Linked DNA regions of Drosophila melanogaster. The protein of the gene in region 1 purifies or fractionates together with the protein of each later gene. This does not show direct contact. Each region holds a gene or a part of one and is shown on either strand. Other genes may lie near its edges.

Region 1 (8,470 bases):
AGACACTTGGTCTGCAATCTCCATGATCCCAAGATAATAATAATAATGGCCTGTCACTCAGAAAGCAACTGCAGCAGCCGAGATGTTCGCCTCTTCATTTTCAGCCAGCAGCAGACCAACAATCGTCTTTGTTGGTGGCATTGGACAATGGAGGACAATTTCTCGGCCACTTGTCAAAATAATTTGCGCCTGTCTTTGGGCCTCAAGATGCGGATACCTGCCGTGCAATTGTTGACTTAGTTGCACTCCCGAGTACGTGAAATGTGTGAGAAATTCTTGGACAAACTCGAGGAAACCAGCATCTACGGATCCGGAAAATAGAAGCCCGAGAAGGGTTAGACTAATATTGGCCGAACATGCGATTAATGCGATTATATGGCTGTATACCCGTTTTCCATTTGCCCCAAAACTGCTGCGACAAGTGATGGCGCAGTAAATTCCCAAAAAATTATCACCTGTGCACCCAAAGGGAAGCAATAGTTCAATAACCCAACAAAGAGCCACCAGAAGAATGACGAGAAATTGTGGCAGCAGCAGCGCACAAAGAGCTGGGAATATCCCGATCCTATAGACGAAGGACTATGCACCATGGGCGAAGGACAAACCAAAACGAATGCCCAAATCGATTGCTGCTCCTGTTGCAAGAAGAGGCGGGGGCCACTGCCACAGCCGCATCCACATGCAACAGGATGCTCGCACACGCACAAATGCGGGATGAAATCCCCGAATGCCTGAAAATCCCTGGGAAAAGTTAACTTTTTGATTCGATCGAGAGAATAATAAGGGGCGCAGACGTAGAATCACACGATAAAGTCACACGGACGGAGTAAAAAGGAAAATCGGTGAAAAAGGGAACATGTTGCAAGTCAGGATCGCAGTTGCAATCGCAGCTGATCGTGTGTTCAGCAGGTTGCATCAATTGGGGGAAAGGACCTGAGGGCTAATGATAGTGTCGAACAAAGGACTAAATTGGCTCTGCAATTCCATGGGAATCCCTTTCTTTGCCATCTTATATACGTAATTCTTTATGCGCAGAGCTGGTTCATATCTTTACTAGATCGTTAGATCAGACAAGCCTCTATGAAGTGCTAACTTTTCAAAAAGCTTTGCTTCGCAAAATTCTAATGTCAGTAAAGCTGACTAGATACTTTGCATAGAAAAGCTTACATATATACATAAGAGAAGCAAATTCATCGGAATTTGTTTATTGCCAAAATTTTAGTAACAGAAAGAAATCTCTTCTGCTCTATTATTGTGCAAAGCTTAATGAATAAACAATTTATAAAAGCTTTCTCTTGCAGAATGTTATAATACTAATCGCACTAGACTTTCGTAAACTATGTTAAATTTATTCAAGGTTATGGTAACAATGGTTTAGTGATCTTATCACGCACTTAATATTGAATAAAAACAGGAAATTATCAGTAATTCATATACCAGAAAAAGAAACATGTAAGCAGTTATATATTTTAAAAAGTTGGCAATAATGGATCGATTAGCTTTATACGAAATCGTATAACCACTCTTTAAATAAAGGTAAGTTTTAAGAAGTTATCGAAAAACTAAATGCTATATGTAATGTTTCCAGATCTTAAACGTCATTACCAAGACCACAACAAGTCTTATAGCTCCCGATCTTTCCAGAAAGCTCTTCTGCGTGGCTGGTGAATTCTCCCGGTTAGATTCTTTCGCCCAGTAAGCTCCGCGCATTCGTGTTCTATTCCCCAACTAAGAACCACGTGTCTGGCGATTCTTTAAATCACCTCAAAGCGACAAAACACGACGTCAAGACAGCTTTTGACTTTTTGCGCAAAAATGGCGATACGCGATGTGCCAAAAATAAGCAAAAGCCCGCTCACCTATACTTGCGACAAAGCAGCGCACACACACTTGGCGAAAAGCTTTCGTTTTGCTCTTTTTGTTGTGTGCAAAAATGCTCTCTGATTGGTCGGCTTGCGAATTTCGGGGGAATTCGCGAGTCGCAAAAGCGAATCGAAAGCTTGCACAATTTGCCGAGCGGCAACCGAAGACCCTCGGCTCCACTTCGGTCACCATCGGTTCCAAAGAGCGAGGGAGCGAGAGCATCTGACTGTTTACGCGAAATTGTTATTGTTTGCAACTAGTTTTTGCGTTGTTTTTTTACGCTTTTTGTTGTTTTTTGCCGGCATTTTGCTCTTGAATTTTTGTTTTCGCTGCGAAATTCAAGTTCAAGTTTAGGGACGGCGGGAATGTTGTTATTGTTACTCAATTCTGGCGTGCTTTCGCACCAAAGTGTGTGTGTAAACGTATCTATGTGAGTGGGATTTGGGTTTGGGCTGTGGTTCTGTTGACGCAACTTGTTGCTTTCACGTCTGGGGTAAAATATTTAAAGGGCTTCCTTTACCTTTAAATCCATCAGATACTTCCACCACTTATCTATCTGAGAGATAGAAATAGATAGATAGATAGCTCATTTTTAAGATTCTGACTTCATAATATCTTTTTTTTTGCATTTACTAAATGGTTCTACACTTTAAATAGAACAACAATTCTGCGCTCATTGGTTAGCAAGGCTTTTCACTGTAATTGTCATTGAGCGATCCGTCCTTCCGCATTTTCACGTAGCCGCTTTTTGACCCTGGCCCACCGAATTTGTTTTCGTGGTAAACAACAAACTCAACTCGAGAACCAAAACCATACACGCACGCACACACACACACATACCAATATAGATTACAAAAATTTGCGCCGCATTTTGCTGTAAACAAAAATTGTGTAATAATCAAGAGTGACCCTGAAAAGCGCTTCACAGATAAACAAGCGGCCAACTGGCGGGTTATTTTTTTATTTGTCGATTGTTGTTTTCGACTCATGACTGTGTTGATATATTTGCAAAATTCTTACGTGGGCCCAAGGGCCGATGATAATTCTATGCTCGACGAAAGAGCTTTCCCCCCTCCAGAGGCCCAAATTTATATTTATTTTTTTTTCGCTAGTTTGGGAACTTTGCTTTTTTGCTCAATTTGTGAGTCAGTGGCATTATGTACTAGTATATTATGTACAGTCGAAGCTTTTTTTCTACACACACGCCATTTTTGCGGAGCTCTCTCTCTGCAGTCGAGAATCGGCGAAAGAATTAAAAAACAGATTCAGTCGGCTATACAGTCCCCACTCAGAAACAGAGAAACCGAGAAGCCCAGTTCCACTCGCAGTCCCTTTGGTAAACGCCTGAACTCAAGGTCAGTGCTCGTACCGCCGCAGAAGTTTGGCGGTCTGTCCAGAACTTACAGCAGAGCGACACATGTAAATCGCCGCTGCCAACCCTGCCCCGCCCTTCGAGATACACGAACTAACAGATACACAGATACACGGTTATATGTGCCCATCCGAATGCTTGTGAATACTGAAACACTTCCGAGAATCAGTTGTATTGCCCTTTTTTCATACTATTTTTTTCGTTGTTTAGTAACTTTGCGTCATTTTGCCATTCGAAGGCAAAGAGTTCACTTCGATCCAAGCCAAAAAAAAAACCAAAGAAAACTGCAGTGAAATATAGTGAAAATCGAAGCAAACACACAATAATGCCGGTTAAAATGTTGGCTGACTTAGGACCAGTGAAAACGTGGCCAGACTATGTGCGAAAATGTGAATCGAATTATGGTTAGAATCGGCGTTCTGATCAGCCAGCAGATACATTTGTAAAACGTGTTCTACGCACTCAACAAACCCCGAAAAACGTCGCTGGATCTTGCAGATACTATATGTACATGGAGTGAATAAAACAACAGCGGAAAAACAAGGTAAGTACAACACAGACGTATTCTATGGAGGGCGGTTTCGCCCCCACCTTCCCTTGCCATGTGACCATGGCCGTATAAATTCGAACAAAAATTCACAACGCTCGACTTGAAATTTCCCTCAAATTGCTAAAAATAAAATAACGCATTTGTGCGTGCGTTTGTGTGCGAGCGTGTTTTTGGTGAAAACATCGTGGAAAATGCACCCCATGCGCCGCTCGAAAAATGCTAGCCTGTACTTAACGGGGGCGTGGTCGTCGGCTTTCCATTTCCCGAATTTCCACATGTTCATTGAGCGGCAAACTGCAACTGCAACCGCCACACTCGAGTGGCGCTGGCGGCACAAATGGCATGGCTCGCTATTTATAGCCAACGCATTCGTATCTGCGCGCTTCATGGAGAGCATATGTACTTTTGTATCTATATCTATGCATATGCATATCTACGGCCGGATCTGCAACGACTTTGTCATATCTACATATACATATAAATAAATATGTACATATGTACGTGAAGGGACTGTCGCCCGGGAAACGCGATTTGAGTTACATACAAACGATCATTGCAAACATCAGTTTTATATCTGACGCCATACGCCCCATAGAAATAAAGTCTTTAGCACACAGAAAAAATTTAATTTACGCACTGTTTTTATGTGTCAACAACTCAATTTTGACTTTTCTCACAAGCAAAACTAAAGAAAACATATATTCTTAGAGAATTATGGGGTATTTAATATATATAATATATATGTAATTCGTAAATTACACTAAAAGGTTTGTCAATAAACTTTTCTCTCACTGTAAAGATTATATCTTTGTATCTGCGCCAGCGAAAACGATCACAAAATGGCCGACCCATGCAAAGTTGCAGTTGCACTGGTAGCCCCCCATCGCCACTTCCCCCACACACTTTGCACACATGCACAGATGTATCTGTATCTTGTTTGCCTTCTCCCGCTCTTCACCCAGCTCCCCCTGTGCCGCTCTTCCCCTCTTTTCCTGTTTCGCCTTCTTTCTGTTTGCTTTCGCCTAATTTTTCGTGCCTTTTTTACACAATTCTCGTTTAAATGTTGCCTTTTGCTTTGCTATCTGTCGGCCCTGTAAATGTATCTGTATCTGTGTGTTGTATGCTATGCTCTCGTATCTGTGAGTGCGTTGCAAAAGTGCAATGACCCATTCGTAGTCCGCCCCCCACCCTCCCCCCGACCATAACCCCGCCAGCGGACCCACCAACACCACCATCGCTCTACGAAGTCGCGGTCTACGTGCCACTTTCCTTAGTTGCAGCGAATGACGCGCGCGATAAATTTCCAGCGTTTTCGTTTCTCCGCTGCTTCGTATTTGTCTAATTTTCCCTCTCTCCGTTGAATTTTTTCGTGGTCTTCTTGTTGCATTTTTTTTTATTAATTTCCCCGGGCTGCAGTTTTTGTTTGTTTTTCGACTGTTGCTCTACCCACACACAGGAAAGTACACTCGAAAAAATGTAAATTTTGAAATAACTCTTTTTCTGGAAGCTGAAACATAAACTTACGATTAAAAATACAACTTTCCGAAGATATATTTTAAAAACCCTACTTTTCTCTGAGTGTAGTGTGTATCTTCTAGATAGTATTCGTATTTTTGCCCTTCCGCCGCGTGAGTTTTGTGTAAACACTGGGTGGAAAGGGGAGAGATATCTCAAAATTTTCGCCTCCATTAGCACACGAGTGCGAGCGGCGATCTTTATGGCAGGTCCTGCCGATCCTGTCGCTGAACCAAACTCTGCAGGCTGCCCATTGTCCATCGTAGGCGGCGGCTCCTGTTTTTTTCTTTGAGCCACGCTAATTGCCATTTGTGTTGGAGAGAATTTTCACGTGCCGCTGCTACTTCAAAGATGCTCTAAGAGGCGACACTTCAGCAACTGAAAAAGTCTCAAGAATCTAAGCATCTCGTTCGAAAGATGCCCAGGTAAAAGCAAAAGATACGAGGGCTAAAGGTAAAGGGTTGGCCTGGGAAAAGCCGGAAAAACGCAACCTCGATGCGTTTGTGCGTGTGTGTTCTTTTTTTCGCATTCATTTTTTACTTTGCATGACAAATGCTGCTATCAAGTCCAGACATTGATTGAAACCCAAAGCAAGGCTTTTCCTGGAAAATCCGCTTCTTCCTTTTTTCGCATGCAAATATTTTTCACGATAGTCGCTCAATGGTAATGACCAAGAAGCAAAGGGTTAGGCATCGTAAAACGCTGGTCCACATTTCCTTCGAACTATTTTGGCACATTTTTGCGAAAAGCCATAAACCCATAAATCTCAGACGAAACCCTTTCGCTAACGCCATAAAAATCTTCGAGCAGGTCAAAGGTTTCGAATCCACTGGTTTTTATTGCCATATGCTGACCAGCCAAACAAAGAGCTGATAATACTAATCGCGAAAATGCGTAGATGGAAAAACATTTGTCGTGCAGTTTGCAAACACAAATACGAAATGCAAATTCAGATTCAAATTCATATTTATGCTGAGAGTGCAAACTCAGAGGTGATAAGAAGCACTTTAGAACAATGCCATTTTGAGCAGATGACTGCAAATTAGTGCTGCTCGATGAACAAAGAATTACTTGATTGTTAAATCATGTCAGGGCCTTTCTTTTTTGCTAGGATCCACACATGTCCAACGAGCAGGTAGTCAACAGGATACAAGGATACTAGCAGTTCATTAAGAGTCCTTCGCTTCATTGAGCGAATGTCTTGCGGTTGGATTATGTGCGGATTTCTCCCTGCTAATCCCCCATAATAAGCGGTATTGGCTTTGAGCTGGGAAAACGTCTTTATCTCCGGTATTAGCCACATTCTCAGCAGTTAGTCAAAAAGTCAGCAAAGTCAACACTGACCAGAGGATAATCCATTTAAGGAAATTCTCTGTGATCGACACATGTTGAGTTTCGTGGAGTTTCCTCGAACTAACTAAGCATCTTTATAGGTTTTTAATTTATTAATTAAGCTAACAAATAAATAAATCATCAAAATGTAACTTAAGGTCATTAAAATCAAAAACAACTCTTTTACGTAATAATTTAAGAACCTGCAAAACTAAACGATTTCAAAGTGTAGGTTTATTATATTGTTGATTTTTGCCATTTAGTATAGCTACTATTTTATTTTCTTTATTTTTCACTTATATTTTTCTTATAAAGATGCAATATTTCGTTAGTCCGGCATATTACAGCCTCTTGGAATTCATATTTTACACTTTCACTGGGACATTGACAGGCGCTGGGGGTAATGATGATAAGATTACAAGTGTGGAAAGGGGTCGGGGCTCATATATGGAAGCATTGTAGTTAAAAAGAGTAAAGCCCCGGGGCTCTTGTCCATAAATGCTCGAGTCCAGATTATGGAGTCCGAGTTGCGGCAACTTTTCCGCTTTTTTATGCCCGTACTTACACACACATTTCTTGCACTATCAGCTTTGAGCCGAATTCCGCGGGGGCGGGGGGAGGTGAATGCACTTGCGAACTAGTTTTTCGGACTCTCGGGTGAAGATAGTGTTGGCCGATCTCGCGGAGCTGCCAAAAAAAAAAAAACAAAAAAAAAAACAAAGAATGCATTCGAAAACACGGGTGGACGGAAAATGGCCCCGTGAAATGCGGTTGACCTTAATTTCCAAACATGATTAATGGGTTTGGCAACCCAAAGTGAAGGTGGGCGGGACGAGGAGGCGCTTGATACACAGAGGAAACGACGATGAAAAACCTAATGATCAACAATTAAAAAATGTAAGTTGAGCTGTGGCCAGAAATGTGTGGGGTACAGCTGGTACAGATGACTATTGCAAATAGGGAAATGTTCTTTTTGTGAACTTGATTTTTATGAAAAATTAAAAAAAAAAACTTAATTTTGTAATTAATTTTTTTACAATGCAGTATTTTGTATTCGATTCTCATTTGAACTCACTGTTATCGCAAGTTTTATAATGTTAAAAAGGGCTGCAGAGCTTTTGTTCTTTAGAAAGTCCATTACCTAAGGTCTCCTTGAAAACCTCAACCCCAAAGAATGCTATTTTAGAAAAATAAAAAACGAGATACCCTAAGACATTTTACAGGTGCCTCGCATAATTTGCATGATAATAACGAAATCCCAAATTGGCAGTATGTTATATGTTACCCTTTCAAAACGCATCCCCTAGCGACCGTTAATTTGCAATTTGCATAAAAAATCAAGAAATCGAAGGGTTATCGTCCGAGGGGTCGAAGGTCGAGACATATGCAAATTAATCGCGTTGCAGGCCAAAACTGCATTCAATTGTGCATTGATTGCCGAAGGTCGTTACTTTATCTCTACACTTAAATTCAAATTTGCATAACTAAGAAGTTGTGGCAGAAAAAAACGTTGAAAGAGAGTAAAGCGAGAAAAATTGAAAATATACGAAAAGACAAGGCGACAAAGTATCAAAACAGGCAGTTCAAAATGGCGACGAATGCCGCGGAGAAGCGAAACGAGGAGAAAGGGTGTCGAATAAAATAGTAAAGATCGAACAACGAAAGATCCGAGACCAGTTTTTCACGCAACCTGCCTAAATTCGAGTATTAACCAAAGAAAGAAAAAAAAAAGAAACGTAAAAAATGCAGTCGCCAAAAAGGCAAAAGACTGGGACACAGCTATGCCCCTCTCCCTCGCACGCACTGCATCCAATGGCAGCAACCATATATGCAGCTCG
Region 2 (8,847 bases), on another chromosome or scaffold:
CATTTGGCGGATGTGTGTGTGCGTTGTTGTGTGTGTGTGTGTGTGTCTGGACTTCCGCTTGGCTGAATTTGTTTACACTTTTTTTTCGCCCGCCGCCACTGGCCCACTCATAATTTCATTTTGAAATGTTTGCCTAAGCGACAATTTCACTCTTTTTTTTCACTTTTTTCTGTTGTTTTTCACAGCCGGACATATGGCACTAAGCCTGGCCCACATTATTAAAACCAGCGACAAAAGACAAGCGACTCTCGGATAGACCAGAAACTGGGTCCACGGTCCATTTAACAGACTCCAGGAGGCGATGGCGATGGCGATGGCGATGGCAATGGCTGAACCTGAACCCTTGGCGGCACAGCACTCAGCACGTGATTTGCATACACTTAGGCCAGGCTGGCGGCACCCAGTCCAAGCTTTTGGCCCACACTTAATTACATGCCAAATGAAAAGTTGGCGGAAGCAAACAAAAAATTTTGGGGAAACCAAAAATATATAAACAGGAAAAGAGCAGGAATTAAATGTGCGTTAAATTGCCAATAAACATGGCCTGCATCTCAATGGGCAAAGTAAGGCGAAAGGGGTGACTAAAACAGCAATAACACGAGGGTTTAAAAATGTAGCTTAAAAAAAAAGAATAATAAATTGCTTAATATTTTCTAGTACATCTAGTTAGTTCCAGCACTTTAGTGAAAAGCGGGCCTTGCCTTTTGTGCTGGGAGTTTTGGGAAACTGATAGAGCTACTTTTCATTCCCACAACGGCAGTCACAGCGAAAACGCACACGTCCAAATTTTATACTTGAACAAAACCAAATCACTTCAAGAAATATTTTTTTTATTTTTCTTTTGATTATCGTGTCGAAACATAAATGGAAACTGTGCGAAATCGAAACCCTCCGCGGATGAAGTACACCGCTCCACCGAAGATGGAATCGGATTTAAACTTCACCGAGAAGGAGAAGAAAACTCTTACCGAACTGAAGCAGCTCTATTTGGAGACCATTAACCTGGATGTGGCTCTGCAGCGCGACATTTACAATATCGAGAAGAAGTACGAGGATAAGCACAATATCATATTTGATAAGCGCAAGAAGATTCTAGAGTAAGTCCATTAATGGTGTTTGGTTAAACAAGATCTCAATTCCCCCAAAAATCCCATCGGTGCAGTGAGTTTAGAAAGCAAAACCACGGCGACGTGGAAACCAATCAGAGCGTGCCCAACTTTTGGCTGAGGGTTCTCAAAGCATCGTACACCGAGTTCATCAGCAAGAGGGATGAGAAAATATTAGAGGTATGTTATGGATAGATCCGATTTGAAGGATATTTAAATTTTAATTGAAATTTTTCCCGCGCAGTGCTTAAGCGACATCCGTTCTCGGCTGTACAACGAACCCGTGGTGAAGTTTGATATCGAATTCCACTTCGATCCCAATGATTACTTTACCAACACGGTGCTGACCAAGACATATTTCCTCAACTGCCTGCCGGATCCAGACGATCCGCTCGCATATGATGGCGCCGAGATCTACAAGTGCGAAGGCTGCGTCATCGACTGGAAGCAGACCAAGGACCAGACCAAAACCGGTAAGCCATCTGGGAGCATCAAATTTCACAGATGTTAGTTGAATTCACTCATTGACCAGAAAATCAAGAGCCGTCGTTCTTTGAGTTCTTCTCGCCGCCGCTTTTGCCAGAAGATACCCTTGACCCCAACTACTGTGACGTCAATGTAAGATTGAATATCAGCGATCTGCGATCCTTTCACATGCATCTCCTCCCACAGGCTATGCTGCAAAACGATTTTGAGGTGGGCTTCTATCTAAAGGAGCGCGTGATTCCCAAGGCGGTGATCTTCTTCACCGGCGAGATTGCCGATTGTCAGAGCTCCAGCGGATCGGAGACCGAGTCGGAAGATACCGAGGACGAGTCGGATGCCGAAGAGGAGGATGGCGTCGACAAGTAAACATTTTACACCGCTTATATACAGTTTACATACATTTTTAACTCGAGTCACCGAACTATTGGCCTGTCCTTACCCACTACATACCAACCAAATAAACATTTCATTATACATATTTACCAAAAGGATCTCGCGCGCTCTTTTTAATGCCTAGCTAAAGGAATTGAATTGTGGTTTTGATTTATACAGTGCGTTTAGCCTGGCGTGTATATATTACAAGGACTCGAATAGTCAAACGTAATACTAGATGGCTGAGCTACAGCACTCGCTTGTAGCCAGCGTTGTGGATCCATCGGCTTGGCCATGTCGTCTTTTTTCTTAAAAAAAAATAAAATAATCCAGCACGGCCCACTTCGACGGAATCTTTACAAACAATATTCTAAGGAGCCACCACCTCCTGTGGCGGTGGCGATTTCGGTGGCTGCTCGTCGTCGGCGCGCGGCGGTGGCTGCAGCATCACCACCACCGTGTCATCCTCTTCCTGTGTCTCCAGCTCCGGAAGTCTTTCAAACTCCTCCAAGTGATTGGCGACCACTTCGCATTTCGGTTTGGAGATCTTGAAGCGCCGAATTGCCGGAAGCGTAATGCTGGTGCCACTAACATCGATATACACCAGATTCGGAGAGCACTGCACCAGGTGCTCCAGGGTATGATTTGTGATGAGATGGTAGTTTCGCAACGACAGTCGCTCCAGTTTATTGTCTGGCGAGCGATTGATGTTCCGGATCCAGACAACGTCCGGTTGCACCGGTCGATCAGCTCGGCCAAAGCTATACATCGCCCGATCGGTGACATAGTATTGAGGTGTTGTCTGACAGGAAGGCGGACGTGGGCGCACTCGTCGAGCATAGTCGCGATCCAGTGGCTCGAGCATGTTCCAAAACATCGGATGCTGAACAACCTGATCGTAGTTCGGACGCGGATGCGTACGATGGCGTCGCGTCGGCATCAGAACATTCATCGGGAGTGAGAATTGTTGATTGACATAGATATACCGTTGCTCCGTTCCCTGCGCAAATACGGCCACAACACTACGCTGTTGGCGCGGGTTAGCGTTCTCAGCGTCGGGCACGTAGATGTAAGCGCGCGGGGGTCTAGGATCCAAGCCGGGACTCTGCCCGGGAGCCTCGATATTGGCTGCATCAACTGCAATTGGTGCATCGGCTGCATTGGCTGCATCGGCTGCATGCGGAAGTGGCGGCAAGTCGACGCCTCCGCTCAAAGGTGCAGCGTTGCTATGACCATTTCTGGGCAACGATAAAACCTCCAATTTGTCCGACGAAGACCCTGAGGTGGATGATGTGTCCTCATCATCGGATTCTGATGGTGCTCGTATTCGTTTCGCCTGAAGATCCTGACCCTCCGAAGGAGGCTCAGTTGGCACCGGCGACTTCTCCTCCTTTCTATCGCTGCAGTTGTCCAAATTGAACGCAACCTTGCATGCACGCAGATGCTCCATGGCGGCCCGCGATGTGGACGGCTCGTCATCGCTAAGCACTTTCAGTGAATCAGGCTGCGGGGAAGCAGCTTCGTCAGTGGCGTTGCCGTTGGTATTTTTTTTAGCAACGGCTTGTTTGGAGTGCAGGATCTGTGGCGACTCAAGCAGCAGTTCCTTGAGATTCTCGATAGCGCTAAAACACTGCAGATCTGAGTTGTTGATGGGCGTCTGGCGAAGATCTAGTGACTGAAATAAATAACCCTTTATAAAGAATATTCGCCGATTGCACCTATGCCAACCTCTAGTTTTTGGAAACCGAAACGTGCCGCCATGCTGCCATAGGGCACAAACTTGCATAGCGCCTGACAGCCCTTAAGACTAAGACGCCGCAAGGAAGGTAACTTCGACAGGCCCATAATATAATAGGGCTCGAACCAGCTGTTGTCCTCAATACTGAGATCCTAAATAAGACGGGGTTAGGCTATTCATTGGACTGTCGTTCGCTCAAACTCACCTCTAGATCAAGCAGATGCAGCTCTATGGAGTAAAATATGCTTTTTGGCGTGTCGCCGACCCTAACGCTACAGTCCTTTAGCTTCAGACGCCTCAGAGTGGCCGGGAACTCAGTTATGTGTATCTGAAGAAAAGATAAAATTGGGGTAGACCAGGGAAACTTGCGAGATGCCAGCACTCACGTATTCGAAGTCCAGGCTGACGCCCTCCAGCTCCAGCACTTTAAGCTGTACAACCCTGGGGAAAACGGAGCTTAGCGTTTGGGTGAACTGGCGGAATTCGCCTGCAACATGCTGCGAGGACGGAGGTCCGCAGATTTTAATGGTGTGTGTCTTTTCGGTGGCTCGTCCAAGAATCTCTTCTAGGATGCCCATAGGCAGGGGCCCGTTGCTTAAGTCTATGTGATGATAGAAGCGGTGATCCAGCAGGAGGTTTTCAAAGCGCGGCGAGCAACTGGAATATTACGGAATGTTATAATATGGAAAGGACATGGAAATCTCAGCGACGCAGAGATCTTTGTTGATAGCGGACTACTTACTGCATCACCGCCAGAATGGAGGACGTGTCCAGGTACTGGAAGATCTCGAAGAGCAGCTCATCACAGAAGTCCATGAGGTTGCACTCCGTTTCCCGGTCGAGGGATTCCTTATGCTCCTTCTCCCTTTTGCGCTGTTTTATCTCCGGCTCCTCCTCGGTAGGGATTTGTGGCAGCACTGGCTGCACGGGCACGGCGGCCAGCTCCCGCCCACAACGTTCGTTGTCCGGGAAGCGGCGCTTAGGCGCTGCAAGGCACGTACTGCCCAATTCGGCCTGTTCCATGCTTGGGCTGCTCCTGCACTTTATTGCCAATTTTCGCCAGCAGCTTTTTTTCCAGCTAAATGCAATTGGTCAAGTGTGACCGCAGTCAGATCCCGAGATAAGCCGCTAGTAGGGGTATTCCTATGTCGAAGAGATGAAACTGGCTTCCGAATTTCCCGGTAATTTTTAATGTCGTTTTTATTATTATATTATTTTTTTTCTTGATTATTACGATTTGATACTAAAGGCGGTGGCACTAGCTGCTCATAGTTATACAATTGAGTCGTCTGGTAAAATGGGAACAATAACAAGTAGTTAATAATCGTTTAATTCTTATGTAGATAATAAAGTTGCCTATTTTGCTATTTTCCTATTTCAAACAAATATTGCATATTATGAATGAAATTTAAAAATAAGGCGCATTACGCATGTGCATGTGCATTAAAAAAGTTATTATACAAATAGAATAAACACATTAAATTAAATAAGATTCCTGTTGTCATTACTAGCAAGCAGTGTTGGAAAACACCGTGCTGCCCTCACTAATTTCTACACCCGTCTCGTGTATTTTTGTGCCTGATTTACTGACTGAAAATGCACCTGCTGCGGAGCCTGCGCCAGCTGAATGGCCTCCAAGGAGTGCGCCAAGCTATCCGGCAGGTGTCCTCGGCGCCCACCAAGCCCGCCGCCCTGCAGTACGAGCGCGATCCGCAGCCGCTTTTCACGGATGCCGAAACCCAGCGGCTGCTCCAGTCCATGACGCAACTGAACTTGGACAAGGTGTATCGGAAGCGCACGGTGCCGGACAACAGCAGCGAAACGAAGTTCATGAGCAACGAGCAGCTGGACAACGAGTTCCAGAACTTGGTGGTGCGGGCTCAGCAAATTCTGCAAATGCCACCCATTGTGCAGATCAAAAAAGATGTGGAGCGGGTGATAGCCAAGGATACGGCGCTGAAGGACTTCGCCAACTCCAAGTTCGTATTCACGGACATCACCTTCGGCCGACGGCAGTCGGAACGCAAGGTAATCGTCCGGGATATGGACGGAACCTTGGCCTACGCCACTCTTGATACCACGAAGCGCATGAACCAGTTGTATTTCCCGCTGGAGGGTCGCCAGTCATATACTCCACGAATGTTCGCGCTGGAGGAGCTGCTGGCCAAGTGCTTGGCGGAGCACAAGTACGAGTTCATCCTGGATCGACTCTTGGTGCAGTACGAGCCACATGAGCCGGAGTTCCACAACATTTCAGCGCGTGTGTTCGAGCATCTCAACGAGTCCAAGGAGTTCGATCTTCTGCGCTCCACCCGCCACTTTGGACCCATGGCCTTCTTCTACGCTTGGCACCGCTGCATCGACGACCTGCTGTATGACATGATCCGTCGGGATTATCTGCACAATGCCGTGGAGCTGATTGCTCTGAGCTACAAGCTACACAACATCCCAGTGGAGTATCAGGCAACGCTGACCGAACTGGGCAAACTGCATGCCACGCCGGCGGAAAGTGCCCTGGCGGAGCTAAGAAGCGTCTTCCGACGACATGACAATAAGCAGAACATTGAGCAGGAGATCCATACGGCCATTGGCAAGACGGAGCACGATTTCGCCGCCGATGAGATCAGCCTGAAGTTCATTGAGCAGTACATCGCCAGCGAACATGCGCTGAAGAAGGTGCAACTGGAGCTGGCGGTGCAGACGCTTAAGGAAGTTAACCGGGAGAAACTGATGCTGTTCCAGGGACTGAAAAAGGCTCACGGCGTCCAGGCTTCGTAGGATCTATTCGCTTTATTGTTATCGATTTCTATGTACTAATAAATACCAGCTAGGTCAAGATTTCTATACGCTGTTCATAGCTCCTTCTTGAGGACCCTGGACAGCCGTCTAAAATGGCCAAGGATGCACTGTCTCCGGTGCCGCAGGCATACCCGCTCGCTGCTGAAACGCTTCAAGCAAACTGAGCAACGTCTGGGATCACCTCTTCCATTGGGCAACCCGTTGTGTTCGCGAAATAGGACGACCACTTTCGCCTTGGCACAACTCTGTTCTTTTTTTCGGTGTACCAAAAGAGAGGTGGTGGTCTTGAAGTAACGTTTGCACTGAAGACATCTGTAGCACTTCCTGCCGCTATGGTTTCTCAGGTGCCTGAGCAACTGCATCTCTGAGTGGCTCATGGCGTTGCAGAGTAGATGTGGGCATTTAAAGAGCATCGATGACTTCCTGGGCGCTAGAGCGGGACAGCTCAGACTGTGTTGCTTCAATTGTTTCTGGTGGTCCAGACGCTGACCACAGCGAAAGCACAGAGCACCAGGTCCATAGTGCGCGGTCATGTGGCTCTGGTGCTCCAGCAAGGTTTTGGCCACATCGCCGCACACCGCGCACTCCATCATGCCGTTGGGAAATATGAATGTGTTCTCGCTCACGTAGGTGAGAAATTTGTCGGAATTGGAGGCCTCAGAACCGGTATCCTTTGGCCGTTCCTCTGGTAAATACCACTCCTCCGAATCGCGACGGCATTGAATGCCCGCATCCTTAGTGCCCGCATTCTCTGTTTGAATGGCGCGCTCTCTGCGCGGCACCATAGCCTCGTTCGCAAACATTCCAGTGACCTCGTTGAGTCTCTTCTGCTGTACGGATTTCTTGGGAGACTCTGTAGCGCCTCCATTGGTGATCGGGGCATGCAGTTCTTTCACTGGAATGCCATTCTCTATCGCGTACTTGCGTGTCACCCACTTGGTCTCCACGCACACGTATTCCGGCAGCTCGAAGACGGGCAAAGGGATAGACTTCATCTGAACAGGGCTGTGGCGTGGTGGTTTTCCGGCGGATATCGGTTGACCGGCCAACGCCACCTTTGCCGGTTGCGCCGGGTACATTTCGTTGGTTCGGGGTTCTCAAATGGCACTAAATCGATACGTATCCGAAAAATGAATTCACATTTTACTTGGAACTTATTTTATTTTTGTTATTAATTACGCTTGCTTTTTATAAAAAGACGCGAATTTTACTGGCGCAAAAAATTCAATGTTGCTATTGGTGCTGGCGGGCTAGCTTTTTTCCCGCCATATCCGACTTCTTTTGACTATTATGACAGTTGGAATATTAAAAAATTAAAATAAAATATAAATCTAACAGTTCTTTTTTCATGGCAATCAATACGAAGTGCTGAATAACTGCATGTTCTCTGATTATACTGTGTTTATAAACTAAAATTTCTACCAAATTTGTTTAGCAACAAGTTCTCTTAACAGTGCCATTTTAAATAATTAGGGGTATTCTTATGAGAAGTATGACATTTTCTAATGAATTCAAAATTGTATTAAGCAAACATAAATTTGTTATATATTTTATATTTCATTCAATGCCTATTATAATAGTTTAATTAAACTGATTGTAAATCTGGTGGAAAAATCAAATAAAAATTGTAGTTATTTTTCGTTTGTTTTGATGTATTAAATCAATCATTATTATATTGTACAATTATTCGGGCAGAAACTGCCCTAAGCACTACTTTTTACTCTTATCCTTGTCCTTGATGGTGTACTTGTCGTAGGACTTGGTGGGATCGTAGGGCTCCCATCGGCTGGCTGGGAAGATGTGCTTGTTGCGCTCGTACCAGGAGCGGAGGAGTACCTTTCCGGCATGGGACTCCTCCTTCTCCACGGAGGCGTCGCTTATCATGCGCACATCGTCGTGGACGTCGAACTGGAAGAGCGGGCCGGATTTGCCGCGTGCCTTGGTCACGATAAAGTCGTAGAAGGAATAGTGGTGCGGCAGGATCAGATCCTCCTTGACGTACATCAGCTGGTCGGCCATTACGGTCTTCAGTTCGATGAACTCCTTGCGCAGCAGCTCCAGGCACTTCTGCAGAAACTGGTAGATGGAGTTGCCCTTCTTCATCAGCACGTTCCGCCGATGGCCGGAGCCATCCCAGTAGCTGAACGTGATGGAGATGTCCTCGTCCTTCAGCTCCGCCTGCTGCATTACCCATTCTTGACGCAGCTGCTCGCGCAGTCTGTTCTCCTGCTCCTCGCGCTCGCGATCTGGCAGAAAGGAAGTGTCCACGTCAGGATTCTTGCATATCTTCTTCTTCTTTATGGGCAAAATGTCTTCCTTGATCTCCGTCCACTTGGGCTTGGGCTG

Evidence for each region.
Region 2: the proteins of rib (region 1) and CG5003 purify together in Drosophila melanogaster (affinity purification with mass spectrometry, with the first as the bait; one large-scale study listed by BioGRID). This does not show direct contact.

Annotation. Positions count from the first base shown.
Region 1 is NT_033778.4:19,267,008-19,275,477, forward strand, and holds the start of rib (ribbon), read left to right. Parts: upstream 1-3,070; 5' UTR 3,071-3,779; intron 3,780-8,470.
Region 2 is NT_033777.3:27,911,704-27,920,550, forward strand, and holds CG5003 (uncharacterized protein), read right to left. Parts: upstream 4,814-8,847; 5' UTR 4,726-4,813; coding exon 4,445-4,725; intron 4,360-4,444; coding exon 4,089-4,359; intron 4,031-4,088; coding exon 3,908-4,030; intron 3,855-3,907; coding exon 3,693-3,854; intron 3,640-3,692; coding exon 2,335-3,639; 3' UTR 2,074-2,334; downstream 1-2,073. Other genes in the region: mil (milkah), read left to right, coding at 865-1,097, 1,163-1,286, 1,351-1,579, 1,639-1,724, 1,779-1,958; mRpS22 (mitochondrial ribosomal protein S22), read left to right, coding at 5,299-6,480; Boh1 (buddy of Hmr 1), read right to left, coding at 6,555-7,580; CG12259 (uncharacterized protein), read right to left, coding at 8,212-8,847.